Kluyveromyces lactis: one gene and its partners. The protein of the gene in region 3 interacts with the protein of the main gene of each other region in a biochemical or structural test. Links are inferred from orthologs where the notes say so. Each region holds a gene or a part of one and is shown on either strand. Other genes may lie near its edges. The genes, in order: CMD1, ACT1, KLLA0_A03905g and VAC17.

Region 1 (2,245 bases), on a different chromosome or scaffold from region 3:
AAAAATCCATTCGATCAAATACGCCAAGAGTACCAACGGATGTAAAAACTGGTCTTTAAATTTCATTTGCAATATAGTGTAACCCAGGTTATGCCAATCGATGATTAATTTTGCCCTTGAAAATGTCTTAACAACAACAGCTATTGGTAAGATAGGAATCGTTGGTGGGTTTTGCAAAAGGATATAATCGACTGCCCTAAGTTTCCAGAACATGGAACAAAGTTGTAATCCTTGTTTTAATGCCTTTACCAGTAACCCTTTTTCAGAACCATATTTCTTCAATCCATGAATTTCAATATTGTCATCATCCAGTATATCGGTTGGAATATCTGAATCAACGTACCCTGATAGCTCTACCTGAAACCCAGCTTTGCTGAAACTTCTTGCATGGTATAAAATCCTTGGTGAATGACCCAAATCACCGAGAACAACTATCAGTATCCTGGTTTTCGTACTTTTACCCTCATAAAACAAATAGGGTTGTACAACGTAAAGCACAAACGGTGTTGCCAAATAAATCGCCAACAACCACCAAAGCCACGTCGGAATGTTATCAAATCCAAAAACAGACATAAGGTATACCTTAAAATTAGTATGAATGCTGCCTTGTAGTTGACAATCCGTACAATAATTCGTGTAAAGATGATGGGAGGATCAATCAGCCGTTTGGCAGAGATCATCAGATAAAACTTAAAAGAGAGACTCGCTGTTTATGGGAAATTTGGTAATGCGTTCTATGTCCGGGTAACCAGATTATCCTGCGAAAAGTTTTCATTTGAACGCAAAATCCCAATCACATCAGGCGAAGGCTGAAAAAAAAGGGGAAACGTAGGACGCCAGAAGCTAATGACACCGTATATCAGTATCTATTAATCGTCCCTTACATTCAACATCAGATAACCGACTTCTCAATTGCTGTGTCGAAGAAAGTAGACGCGTTTGTGTTTCTATATTTACTACCTTTCCCGCTGTTAATACGTAAATAACGTCTTTTTCCCGTATTGACAGTTTAGGTGTTCATTTTTCGATTTGAAATCCAAATTAATTTCGATCCTTTAAACGTCTGTTTGTTTTAATTCTCTACTTGCAGTTAAAGTTTTGGATCTCAACAAAAGAAAACAGTTGTTATTAGGTAACCATAAGGGTCTGTTTATTGTTCCATTCCAGTCCTGGATTACCAGATATTCATTTACCACACACAGATTGCGTATTAGTAGGATCAAAAGGAAAATAAAATGTCGCAGAATTTAACAGAGGAACAAATTGCAGAATTCAAAGAGGCATTTGCCTTGTTCGATAAGGATAATAGCGGCTCCATTTCTGCTAGTGAGTTGGCTACCGTGATGAGATCTTTGGGTCTTTCGCCCAGTGAAGCCGAAGTTGCTGACTTGATGAACGAAATTGATGTTGATGGTAACCATGCCATTGAATTCAGTGAGTTTTTAGCGTTAATGTCCAGACAATTGAAGTGTAACGATTCGGAACAAGAGTTGTTGGAAGCTTTCAAGGTGTTTGATAAGAACGGGGATGGTTTGATCTCTGCTGCAGAGTTGAAACATGTTTTGACGTCGATTGGTGAAAAATTGACCGATGCGGAAGTCGATGAAATGTTGAGAGAAGTTAGCGATGGCTCGGGTGAAATTAACATCAAACAATTTGCTGCCCTTCTATCCAAATAGATCGCTTAATTGCTCTTTCATCGGATGTAATACTCTGGTTCTCCTTTACCTTTCGTTCCTCATTACTTTTTACTTTTCATCTTTCCATCGCTCAAATTACGCACAAGCACAACGTTTCAAGTAAATAGTTGCTGCTACAACGCTCTTACTGCAAATAGCTTTACAAATGCTGTGTAAATCCATTAATATAAAACGATGATCATTCGTACATGTGTATACAGTAGTGGATGTTGAATGCCATCCTGTGAAATAATAGCTTAAATGATAATAAGATGAAATGTAAAACACTAAAAAGAATAATGATAATGCGTGTTCTTTAGTCCCTATCTATAAATAATTATATAATTTGCAGCCGCGTTTTTGAGCCCTTAACGGGACTTCAGTGGTAAGTATGCTGTCTCGGTGTATGACTGTTTATAAAACTCTTTATTTTTTTTTGCGATGCGAGTAAATGCCACTAATGTGTTTAAAGTTATTTGGACTTATGAATATGATCCCTTTCTGCAGGAACTACATGCCTCAAATACTTCCTGAAAGAATTACCTTCTCCAGAATCGTCATCATCG
Region 2 (3,706 bases), on a different chromosome or scaffold from region 3:
GTCTTGTTTATCTATTGTACATATTAAATAATTTACTATTTCATAAACTAAGAATAACTTTCAACACTAAAAATCTTTGTTCTGGAACATATGATGATTTTAAATCCTTTTCAAATTATCAGATGATCAACTTAAGCAATTAGCCTCGCACGAATATTCAATAATTGCCGTATATAACTTTCAATTGGAGTTGTTTAATTTTAATGTTGAATTTGAATTTCGTTCGTATATAATCTCGGCTTATTAACTTATTAACTTTCATACTAAACTACCCACTTCATTTATATGAAGTAGAATATTCCAACAACATAAGATAGAAGATTGGAACTTGAATAATGACTGTGCGATCGAAGATAAATAAAAACAACACACAAAACAAAATTATAAAAACAAAGAAGATTTGGAGTAAAATCGTCCCTATATGAAGTTTTAATAATTGTTAGTTTTTTGTTTCATAAGCTTCAATTTTTGGGTTCATCTATATGAATCGATTCATCGTTTATTTTAATTGTATTCTTTTTATAAGAGTGTCAAGTAAAAAAAAGTGAAGGAGATTAGAAACACTTCAAGTGAACGATGGATGGACCAGATTCGTCGTATTCTTGCTTTGAGATCCACATTTGTTGGAAAGTGGTCAAAGAGGCCAAAATAGAACCACCGATCCAGACAGAGTACTTTCTTTCTGGAGGAGCGATGATCTTGACCTTCATAGAAGAAGGAGCCAAGGCGGTAATTTCCTTTTGCATTCTTTCAGCAATACCTGGGAACATGGTGGTACCACCGGACATGACGATGTTACCGTACAATTCCTTTCTGACATCAACATCACACTTCATGATGGAGTTGTAAGTAGTTTGGTCGATACCAGCAGCTTCCAAACTTAGAACAGATGGATGGAACAAAGCTTCTGGAGCTCTGAATCTTTCGTTACCGATAGTGATAACTTGGCCATCTGGTAATTCGTAAGACTTTTCAACAGCGGATGATTGAGAAGCAGTTTGCATTTCTTGTTCGAAGTCCAAAGCGACGTAACATAGCTTTTCCTTGATGTCACGGACGATTTCTCTTTCAGCGGTAGTAGAGAAAGAGTAACCACGTTCAGCCAAGATCTTCATCAAGTAGTCGGTGATATCTCTACCAGCCAAGTCGATTCTCAAGATAGCGTGAGGCAAGGAGAAACCGGCGTAGATTGGAACAACGTGGGTAACACCGTCACCAGAATCCAACACAATACCAGTGGTTCTACCAGAAGAGTACAAGGACAAAACAGCTTGGATAGAGACGTAGAAGGCTGGAACGTTGAAAGTTTCGAACAAGATTTGAGTCATCTTTTCTCTGTTGTTCTTTGGGTTCATTGGAGCTTCGGTTAACAAAACTGGGTGTTCTTCTGGAGCAACTCTCAATTCGTTGTAGAAGGTGTGATGCCAGATCTTTTCCATATCATCCCAGTTGGTAACGATACCGTGTTCAATTGGGTAACGTAGAGTCAAGATACCTCTCTTGGATTGAGCTTCGTCACCAACGTAAGAGTCTTTTTGACCCATACCGACCATGATACCTTGGTGTCTTGGTCTACCGACGATGGATGGGAAGACGGCTCTTGGAGCGTCGTCACCGGCGAAACCGGCTTTACACATACCAGAACCGTTGTCAATAACTAAAGCAGCGACCTCTGTTTAGAATAAAAAACCATCACGAGTAGCAGAATGCAGATTAAGGAACTAAACCGTACGTTTGGGTAGGTTAGGTGTTCCAAAAAAGTGAATTCAGCCATCCCAAATAGAAAAATAATTGTTAGTAACATAAGATAAGAAAACAAAAGTAACAGGTGCATTTTGGGTGATCATGAGGTTATGTGATTGTTCAACGCTAAAAGTCCTGTCGCGGACAAAATAGGGGCTAACCTTAGCAACCAGAAAAATAAATCAAAAAAAAAATAGGGACAACCGAACCACGAGGGGCAATGCCTGCACCACTTAAAGGTGTACTTTGATTCCTTCTTGGACTGGAAGGAATAACATTGTAATATAAAATCACATCATCACGTGACATCAAATTATCTTTTTTTGCCTATATTTTCCAAATTTCTTTCCAATTCGCCTCCTAAATCAGGTAAAAAAAACCCAAAATCCAAAGTTAGTCACCCAAAACCCAAGAAAAACACGTTATAGTAAGAAGGTAGAACCAGGAAATGAAAGATCCAATTCTCGAACAAAGCTTCTAATCCAAACCCCTATATATAAAAAAAACCCATTCAATTAGCGTTGTACATCTAATTCTAAATCTGATTTAGGGAGTTAGAGAATGGACAATGGCAGCGCAAAGCGCTGCCATTATCCTATCTTTTCCCTCCCAACATTTAACCGGAAACCTAACAAAGTAATAAAACATATCCAAACTTTTTAACCACCCAATTAACCCACCGTAATCAAATATACGTTTCCACACATACCAGAATCCATATTGTTATACTATAGCGCGTGAAGATGTTGTACAATTCCTTTTGCAATCAACAAAAAAACCGTTATTCTGAAACAACCTTTCTTCTCTTTGGATCGTAAAAGACAGTAAAGAAGGAGGAAACAAATCAAGATATTTCTTATTTTTCTTGTAAATTAAATCAAATTTCAAACTCTCTCATACAATAAATCGCACTAGCTGTCCAGAGAAACAGAAGAGAAAATTTCGAAAAAACAAATTAAAAAAAAAAAAAGAATTCTGATGAAAAATAGGAGACGATTGTCATTGTCCACGAGGCGGAGCAGTTGCGGTAATGGTTTTCTAGTGGTTACGTGGGATTCACTGTACAGCTGGAGGGGCGGACTTGCAATTGAAGGCTTTGTGAAGGCTGGAAGTTTGATATAACGTTGGTAGGCTGTCGGTAGAATAGTTATATCGTAGTATATTGTATTCATGAGGCAGTTATCGATCTCTGGATGTTAGTACATCTGGTTTATTTTACAATTCATTATGACCGCATATCGTCTTAATCCTCCGTATATTAATGTGTATATTCAAAATCACGTGACATATATGTACGTTACCCGGATTATAATGACTCGGCAGTTGAAATCTATACGTGAATATATGTTACGTGGATCATCATCAACTATCATTGAAGCAACGGGAAGGTATTAATAGATCAGGTTAATATTCGACAGTACATTTATGTACATCTATCTCTATCTCTGAAGAATCTCACCCACCCATTGTAGAATGGCTGGAAAATCGTCCAAGAAGATTGCTGCAAAGAACGCAGCCATCTTAAAGCAGTTGCACGTACTAGTCGTCGCTATACTATCTTTAACGTTATTGAGGAAATGGTTCAGTAATGGGCTGATTTCAACCCTAAAACCTATTCTTTTCAATGTGCCGATGTTGTTATGTTTATATATTCTCGAACGTACCGGTAGACCAAAATATGAAGTCAGTAACGCTGCGCATGGAAAATATAAACTAGTTAATGAAGGGTTCGATTTGGAATCTGGTGGACTCACTGAATACATGAAAGATATCGTGTATGTTTCCTTGTTCTGTAACCTGGGAACAGTTTTCTTCAACACGATGAAATGGTGGTTCTTGGTATTAGTGTGCCCTGCGTTTATTTTCTACAAGTTGTACTACTTGAAGCAACAGTATTTCCCCGGTGCCTCAGCTTCAAAGGCGGATCTCGCAGAGACAACGCCCGCTGAACCTTCCAAATCAA
Region 3 (4,279 bases):
CGTCAATTCAATGACCTTGTTTTCAAGTTTATAACTGACTTCCTGTAGGTGATTAACGGATTTGGCTTCCGATTTTAGTTGTTTTAACTTTCTTTGAGCATAGTGCTTTCTAATGAAAGATTGGATGACCACGGTGCCCTTCTTCTCATGTAGGAAACTTTTTCTTGGTTGGAAAGATCTTACGCTCTTTTGAATCGTAACAGCGGCATCGCCTCTGCGCCTTTCCAATAACTCTTTACAGGTAATTTGCTTTCTAGCCATGGATTGAATTCTAATGATGCTGATGATTATACTGGAAACGTTATCCCTCACAGAAATACCTCTATAGGCACTTTGAATCAATAGAGCTGCATTATTCTTGAATTCGTTCTCAGTTCTTAATCTTATGATCTTACCACTAACGTTTGCCTGTAGCCTTTTGATTGCATCGACAGTCCGTAGATATGTTTTACGATAGTGAAGACCCTTAATTTTTTTCTGGATCATGACAGAGGATGAGAATAACTTATCGGTTCTTAGCTTTTCCAAATGTGCTAGCATACCAGCTTTGAAGAAAATTTTTGTATTACCAGCCTGATACTTTGCAGTATCATCCATTGTACGTTTCAGGATCTCCTTACATAAGTTCTTTACATCTTCTTCAGATGGATCCGATAGTAAAATATTTGACCAAAGCTCTGATGGTACTAATATATGGTATCTGAGGGCAAACTCTGTGTATGTCCACCTCGATGGGAACCCTGCACAAGAAATTCTAATTGTTTCCAAGACACCACATGCTCTAAGCTGTGACAAAACCATAAGATTGTCAAACTTCCATGCTTCTTTGTCTTCGTTAGGTTTGATACAACGAATGTAGTGAACGTTAGTGGAGTTGATAGTTTCCATAAGATCGATCAACGATTGTTTAAACATAGATCCTAGAGTTGGTTTTCTTACGATTTTTCTTGAGGCTGGACCGGGTTTCTTTTGACTTTCTTGCTTTTGGGCTTGTTTCTCTGCCAATTTTTCCGCATTTTTGTCAACAGTTTCCAAAATAGATAGTAAAGTTTCGTTGTTAGAAGCCTTTAACACTTCAAGATGTCCATCAGAAACTGTATCTCTATTCTTTTCGATAAATCCGTCTACATCATAAGTGACGTCCAATGCATAATGGCTAACAATAAATTGAGTTTGGCCGAATCTTGGTTTGGAGAATACTTCATTAGTTGGAGGTTTATTCAAAGTTTCATATAGTTTATGCGTCCATCCTTCATCCGTACCAGCAGGTAATCTTGATTCTTCGTCTAATAATGATAAAATACCAACTTTGTTCTCAATTAAGTCAATACACGGTTGATTATCGTTGAACTCGATAAACGACCATTCAATCTGTTCCTTTACGTACTCCTCTTGTTCTAGTTTGAAAACATGTTGGTTGAACTCTTGTTGCAACTTTTCGTTAGCGTAATTGATACAGAACTGTTCGAAAGAATTCTTTTGGAAATGTTCAAAACCATAGATATCCAAGACACCGATAAAAGTATATATCTCGCTTACCACTTCAGGGTTACATAGCACGGTGTTTATGTTGTCCACTAACCAATCGAATAATGCTGAATATATGAATTTCGCCACAGAATCACGAGAAACTATGGCTTGGTGGTAAGGTAGGGATGAGACGATCTTTTCAGACCTGGTAACGATCTGTTTCTTCGTTACCCATTTAGCGAAATCAAAAGCGTCTATACCTAACAAATCTGCCGCTATTTGTAGGTTTGGTTCATCAGATGACAAAGAAGCATCATTTCTGACCTTTTTAACTTCGATGTTACCAATATGAAGAAGGGCCGCCAAGATTTTAAACAGCTGGAATTGAGTATCCTTTGAGATACCAACCAAACTCAATGCTTCCACAGTATCACCGTATTCAGAGGCGTCATCGACACCTTCGATATGAGAGTCACCGCCCTGATTCATATAATGGTAGTCTTGTATGTCTGTAAGTTTCAACTGAGATTTTTCATCGTCGGATAAACCTGATAATATTTGATAGAAAATGTGGTAATTCCTTTCAGTTTTCGGTTGGAAAACCAACCTAGAACGTTCCAACAAATATGTTCTCACTCTGGCACCAATGATTGAAGTATCGTCATCGAAGAGAATTTCCAAATATTTACCGAATCTGGAAGAGTTGTCATTCCTAATAGTCTTAGCATTACCGAATGCTTCCATGATTGGATTAGTGGCCAATATCTTCTTTTCAGTTTCAGACATTTCCAAATTATGATGTGCGTTTTCCTCATTATTTTCTTCCACACTAGCGAAATATCTCATAATATATTTAGCCGAAACAGTCTTACCTGCACCGGATTCACCAGAAACGATGATTGTTTGGTTCTGATCTGTTGTCTTCATCAACCTATACGCTTCCTCTGCGATAGCAAAAAGATGTGGTTCCAATTCACCTCTAAGTTTCCCTGCATATGCCTGGATCATCTCCTGAGAATATAGTTGATCCACACGATCAAAGGGATTTGTGGCAATGAGCACGATCCCTGAATAAGTATAGATATTCAACTGGGCATATCTGGCCTTAATAGCATGTAAAACTGCCGGTTCATTCAAATATGACAATGACGTCAAATCCTCCGTAGTCTCAAGGATTGGAGGGTTCCTAAGTAGGGGTAAACTAGGCTCTTTGGTTTCATCTAAAGAAGACACTAAAAGCTCTACTTTCTGTCCATCCTCCAAAGTCAATTCCAAATTATAGGAATCTCCCTGCAAGGTATGTTTAGTAACTTCAGCACCGATCCATCCTTGATCTTTGCTGGGATACCAGCAGCGAGTCCCGACTTCGTACGGCATCCTATGCTGATTAACGCTTAAAACCTGAAATCTAAGATCAAATCAAATAACCAATAATTGAATCAGAAAAAGCCAACGAGCACTCAATTGAATCTGCAATGACACACGGCAATTAAAATCAAAACAGTCTCCTATTGCTTCGTACTGCTAGTCACAAGGATACACGGTGTCAGATGCCTCGCTCCCTGTATTTTCCGCTCTACTCTTCTCCTGAAACTCGTGAATCTAAATAAAACACATATAAATCAAATAAGATATATATTTGTTGTTCAAAAGATCCCACTTTTTTTTTGTTTTTTTTTTTTCCCTTCTGTTGTCCCAAGAGCTTTTTAAGTGGACTAAACAAATAGCAGGGATTCAACCTTTCGCGTCAGCGCGCCAGCAACGGATAAGCATGCAGTGAGGTAAACTTGTAGGGATATTTTCGCCTTGGTGGGGCGAATATTTGCTTATGGGGCCTCAAATTAGCCTTTTAAAAGGGTGATTTTTAGTCACGTGTAAATCACATGCACTATCCGGGTAATAGCGTTCCTGGTTCGTCTCTTCATCAGACAATTTCTATTCCAACATGAATAGAGGAAGTCGGTAGGTGGAGATAAGGCGCAGCTATCAAATAAGAATTAGATAGCAGCCTGGTTTCATTTCGTGGCGAGTAAAGACGAAAATATTTCATGGAATGAGGTTTTAGAGTTGAAATATTTTTGCTGAGGAGATTACTTTGTGAATAGGAACTTTAAACTCAAACTCAAACTCAAAAATTCGAAGTCTAATGGAGGTTAGCCATCGTGAACATACCAACCATATTGGATCCCAGGTTAACCCTTTGTTCCGCGGGTCCGTATTTCATAAGAATGATGCCGCAGATCTACGAGTCCCTTGGGATGGGAAACGTCGTAAATCTGGTGCTTCGATCAATTCTAAGACTCAGATGGGGGATTTGACCGAATTCAATCCGTCTCATCATGCCAGTAATAAAAACATTTACCATGACGATATTACGTGTGGTTCTTTAAGGTTTAGTGATGCGTTATTAGATGGCTCGTTCAAATGTCAGGATGAGCATTCTAGCAATAGATCTGGACATATGGCTAGTAGTAAACCGGGGAGCGGTAACAGTAGTCTGGGTCTTCTAAAAAATCAATCATACTCTAACATATCAATTTCCTCCACTCAATCATTTAAGAAAACGCACACGAAACTGTTAAATTTCTCTCAGTTGAAGCCCGACCTCACAACAGCATCGTCTTTTGAATCACAACCTTCTAAGGGCAACTCTTTGGCAAGACAGTTTCTTGAGACCGCTTCAAAGGCAAAATGCAACAGAGAGATAATACCGACCTTATTTTATTCCCCATCTGCCAACAGCTGCGGTGATACTTCTGGAGCGCTTGATTATTTGTCATCAGGGTTTACTGACAAACTTTTCCCCATA
Region 4 (3,143 bases), on a different chromosome or scaffold from region 3:
AAGAGTTTGTTCAGAGTTCATTATCGTTTTTAAGTGCAAAAGATGATGATATCAATGAATTTGAGGTCACTGAAGCAGCACATGATGCAACTGAGGATTTGGAATCTTTGAAACAGCGAAGCAATATTAAATCTCTCGATTCCCCTCAAAGGAATAGAAACTCCGCCTTCTTTGATGATGTGGATGGTACATCTCTGGACTTCAAATTGCCCAGCATCGTAAAGTCTTTTTCGTCAAACTCAGATGTTAATGACAAGTTCAAAACGGGGATCAAAACTGTTACTATATCTAAATCTTATAGAGTAGCCTCTGGTTCTCGATCTGCCATCACTTTCTTGGGTAAAAAGAGAAAATTGAAGGCACCCCAAGGCCGAAAATCCACACCGTTGGTACGCAAACCAACATCTAGCTTGTTTGACTCCAATTCCGATAGTTTCACCTGACCCATCCAACTAATATGTCAATTTCATTATAAAATCTCTTAAAATTACATTTGTATAATCATTATATCAGAAGTTAAATTCAGTGTTCAATGCCTCTTGAAGTTCATTATATGAAACAGTACAAGTTACTAATGGGTCATTTAGCCCACGGATGAACTTTGCGCCATTCGGTCCTATTACTATCGATGTAGAGTAACTGTTAGAGCTTGAATGCCGTTGTCGATTTTCCACAATGGGTCGTCCACTCGATGGAGACGAATTATCAGGATTTCCAATTTCTTTCGTTACTAGAGAGTCCGAATTAAACCACTTTTGAAAAATAGAGGATGCAAATGGGGTTGAGTTGGACGAACTGAACCATCCTCTATACTTCTTAGATGGTGGAGCTGTTACGAACTGGCTCAACATATCTTTTGATAGATGCGGTGACCCGATAGTTGGCGAAGCGGTTGAATTCGAAGTACTACAGCTTATTGTTGGTTTTGTGACGATGGCCTTTTTCTGCCAAACAGATTGGTACGTTGGTCTCATTATTAGGTTAGCTGGAGTTGAAGGTGATAGAATTTTCCTAGAAAGAATGCTTTCATGAGAATTACAGCGCCTTACCTGTTTAGATGGATATTGATCTTCATTTTGGGATAGATAATATGATATATTTGGTGGGGATACCGATATTACGGTTTCTTCATCACTAGCATCTGTATTTACATCATCAAAAACTGACAGTGATAAACGGTTTTTGTTTTTGAAGAATTCCCAGTCCGCATTCTTCTTTGCTCTACCATTCAAGCCCACATCATATGATTTCGCCATTCGAAGAGTTTTATGTTCTCGGGAGAACATCTGCGATTCCAGTAGTGTATCCGGCATTGGTGATCCAGGTAAAGAATTGGCTCTTTTTACAGAATGCAAATGGTGCAAAATATCTAAATCATCTTCTTGAAACCTCACATTTCTCTTTGCTGGTAGTGACTGATTGTGTTCTTCCTTTTTCAGCTGGGATAGGCTTTTTTTCATTGGAGAAGTGCCTATTAAAGAATCCCTGTTCCTTTCAATGATCTTCAGGGTTTTCAAAGGGATAACAGATGATTCTTTACTGGACCCTGAACGAGCTGATTTTGTAGGACTTTGATATGCCCTGGCCACTTCGTTTAAACTCATTGTTATATCTTGAAATTCGTAGATCAGTTTCTCCAAAGTCTCATATTCGATACAGACATCATTTGGATCTTTCCTTTGGTGACGTAGACTTTCTTGAACATGCTCAGCACGTAACTTCAAAGAGCTTAGTCTTGCCAGGAATGAATAGTACTCCTGTACCTGTATAAAACAGTGAGAATTGTTTGGATCAAACTCACACATCTTTCGCTGGATGGACAGCTCAAGTTGCATAACGGCTTCATTACACCGGATAACTAGCCTCTCGGCTACGTACCTCATATCTTCCATTCCTTTCGAGTAACAACACTCTTCTAACTCTTAATTCAGTTTCACCCCCCCTCTCACTAGATCTCTTACTTACAAGATGGTGTGTTGTGCTGTATCTATGCTGAACAGACAGATAAACTGTGTATGGGTATGGCTATTTAGTCAAAAGGAAAAAAAACAGTCCAAAAGAGACAAGAAAAAAATAATAAAAAATACACTTCTAATGATTATTTACTCAGAGCTGTTAAGAGAATGAGAACATGCTTATACCAGTCTGAAATTTAAATTGAAACAAAAACGGAGAGATCTTCAAGTCAGTAGAATATGTCCATTATTTCGCTCTTTGTCTTGTTACTAGTTCCTCATTTCTTCTTACCTTCTAACCATCTTGAACATCAAATCTAATCTGGCATGGTGTATTGTTTTCTGATTTCATATTTTTTTTGTCTCGAGAACAATGAGATGAGCTGCCGACAAATTTGGAAAAATGTTTCGTGGTTTGCCTATTTTGGAGGTCTGGGGTTTTGGGCTCTCAAGATCTCATTTTTTGGGGACCACAGAAGACATCTCTACCAACAGAGAAAAACTTAAATAAGATAGTCCAAATATCCGGATATATATTTCCGTAGTGGATTTGTATTTGCATTTGTCAGTTTTTTTGTACCTGTATTATAAGGAAATGACAGGCATCTCAATGCTTCGTATAGATAAGGCAACCATCTAATGCTCGGTTATCTTTCATAGCAGGGACTTATATATTTAGGGGGGTGTGCTGAGATGATCTCTGAATCCAATCTTCAGTTCGACCTCTTCATCTTGAAAGCTAAATGTATGTCCATATCTTTCCAACTTCATATAGTCAAACGAGTATTAATAGATTAATAATGAAAGCCCAATTGTTCAGCAAAACACCGTTATTGAAACATCAATTCAAAAGAAGTAAAGGCCCTCAAGTGCTTTTGAAGTATGAATTTTTACAGCCGAGTGGTAGTTTCAAAAGTAGAGGTATCGGACATTTAATCTCTACAAAGGTAGAAGAAATAAAGAAATCCTCGCCTGAAAAAATCGGTCACGTGTTTGCTAGCTCTGGCGGTAACGCTGGATTGGCGGCGGCGGTTGCGTCCCTCGAATTGAACGTTCCCTGTACAGTAGTTGTGTCGAATGCAACACGTCCAAGAATTATAGAAAAGATTCGCTCCTACGGCGCAGATGTTGTTGTTCATGGTAACCATTGGAAAGAGGCAGATTCTTTCATGAAGGAGCACCTTATGA

Evidence for each region.
Region 1: the proteins of KLLA0_A03905g (region 3) and CMD1 form a complex in vitro, tested with the Saccharomyces cerevisiae proteins (2 studies listed by BioGRID, with this or other methods). The link is inferred for Kluyveromyces lactis from reciprocal best matches to the Saccharomyces cerevisiae genes MYO2 and CMD1.
Region 2: the proteins of KLLA0_A03905g (region 3) and ACT1 form a complex in vitro, tested with the Saccharomyces cerevisiae proteins (3 studies listed by BioGRID). The link is inferred for Kluyveromyces lactis from reciprocal best matches to the Saccharomyces cerevisiae genes MYO2 and ACT1.
Region 4: the proteins of KLLA0_A03905g (region 3) and VAC17 form a complex in vitro, tested with the Saccharomyces cerevisiae proteins (3 studies listed by BioGRID). The link is inferred for Kluyveromyces lactis from reciprocal best matches to the Saccharomyces cerevisiae genes MYO2 and VAC17.

What each region holds. Positions count from the first base shown.
Region 1 is NC_006038.1:824,716-826,960, forward strand, and holds CMD1 (calmodulin), read left to right. Parts: upstream 1-1,235; coding exon 1,236-1,679; downstream 1,680-2,245. Other genes in the region: ALG1 (chitobiosyldiphosphodolichol beta-1,4 mannosyltransferase), read right to left, coding at 1-573; AIM3 (Aim3p), read right to left, coding at 2,152-2,245.
Region 2 is NC_006040.1:460,482-464,187, reverse strand, and holds ACT1 (actin), read right to left. Parts: upstream 2,463-3,706; coding exon 2,453-2,462; intron 1,673-2,452; coding exon 555-1,672; downstream 1-554. Other genes in the region: SND2 (Snd2p), read left to right, coding at 3,217-3,706. UniProt on the Saccharomyces cerevisiae protein: Actins are highly conserved proteins that are involved in various types of cell motility and are ubiquitously expressed in all eukaryotic cells.
Region 3 is NC_006037.1:347,624-351,902, forward strand, and holds the start of KLLA0_A03905g (myosin family protein), read right to left. Parts: upstream 2,848-4,279; coding exon 1-2,847. Other genes in the region: FRT2 (Frt2p), read left to right, coding at 3,617-4,279. UniProt on the Saccharomyces cerevisiae protein: Myosin heavy chain that is required for the cell cycle-regulated transport of various organelles and proteins for their segregation.
Region 4 is NC_006039.1:32,697-35,839, reverse strand, and holds VAC17 (Vac17p), read right to left. Parts: upstream 1,893-3,143; coding exon 510-1,892; downstream 1-509. Other genes in the region: chromatin-modulating protein MRC1, read left to right, coding at 1-443; L-serine/L-threonine ammonia-lyase CHA1, read left to right, coding at 2,699-3,143. UniProt on the Saccharomyces cerevisiae protein: Vacuole-specific MYO2 receptor required for vacuole inheritance. Binds simultaneously to MYO2 and to VAC8, a vacuolar membrane protein, forming a transport complex which moves the attached vacuole membrane along actin cables into the bud.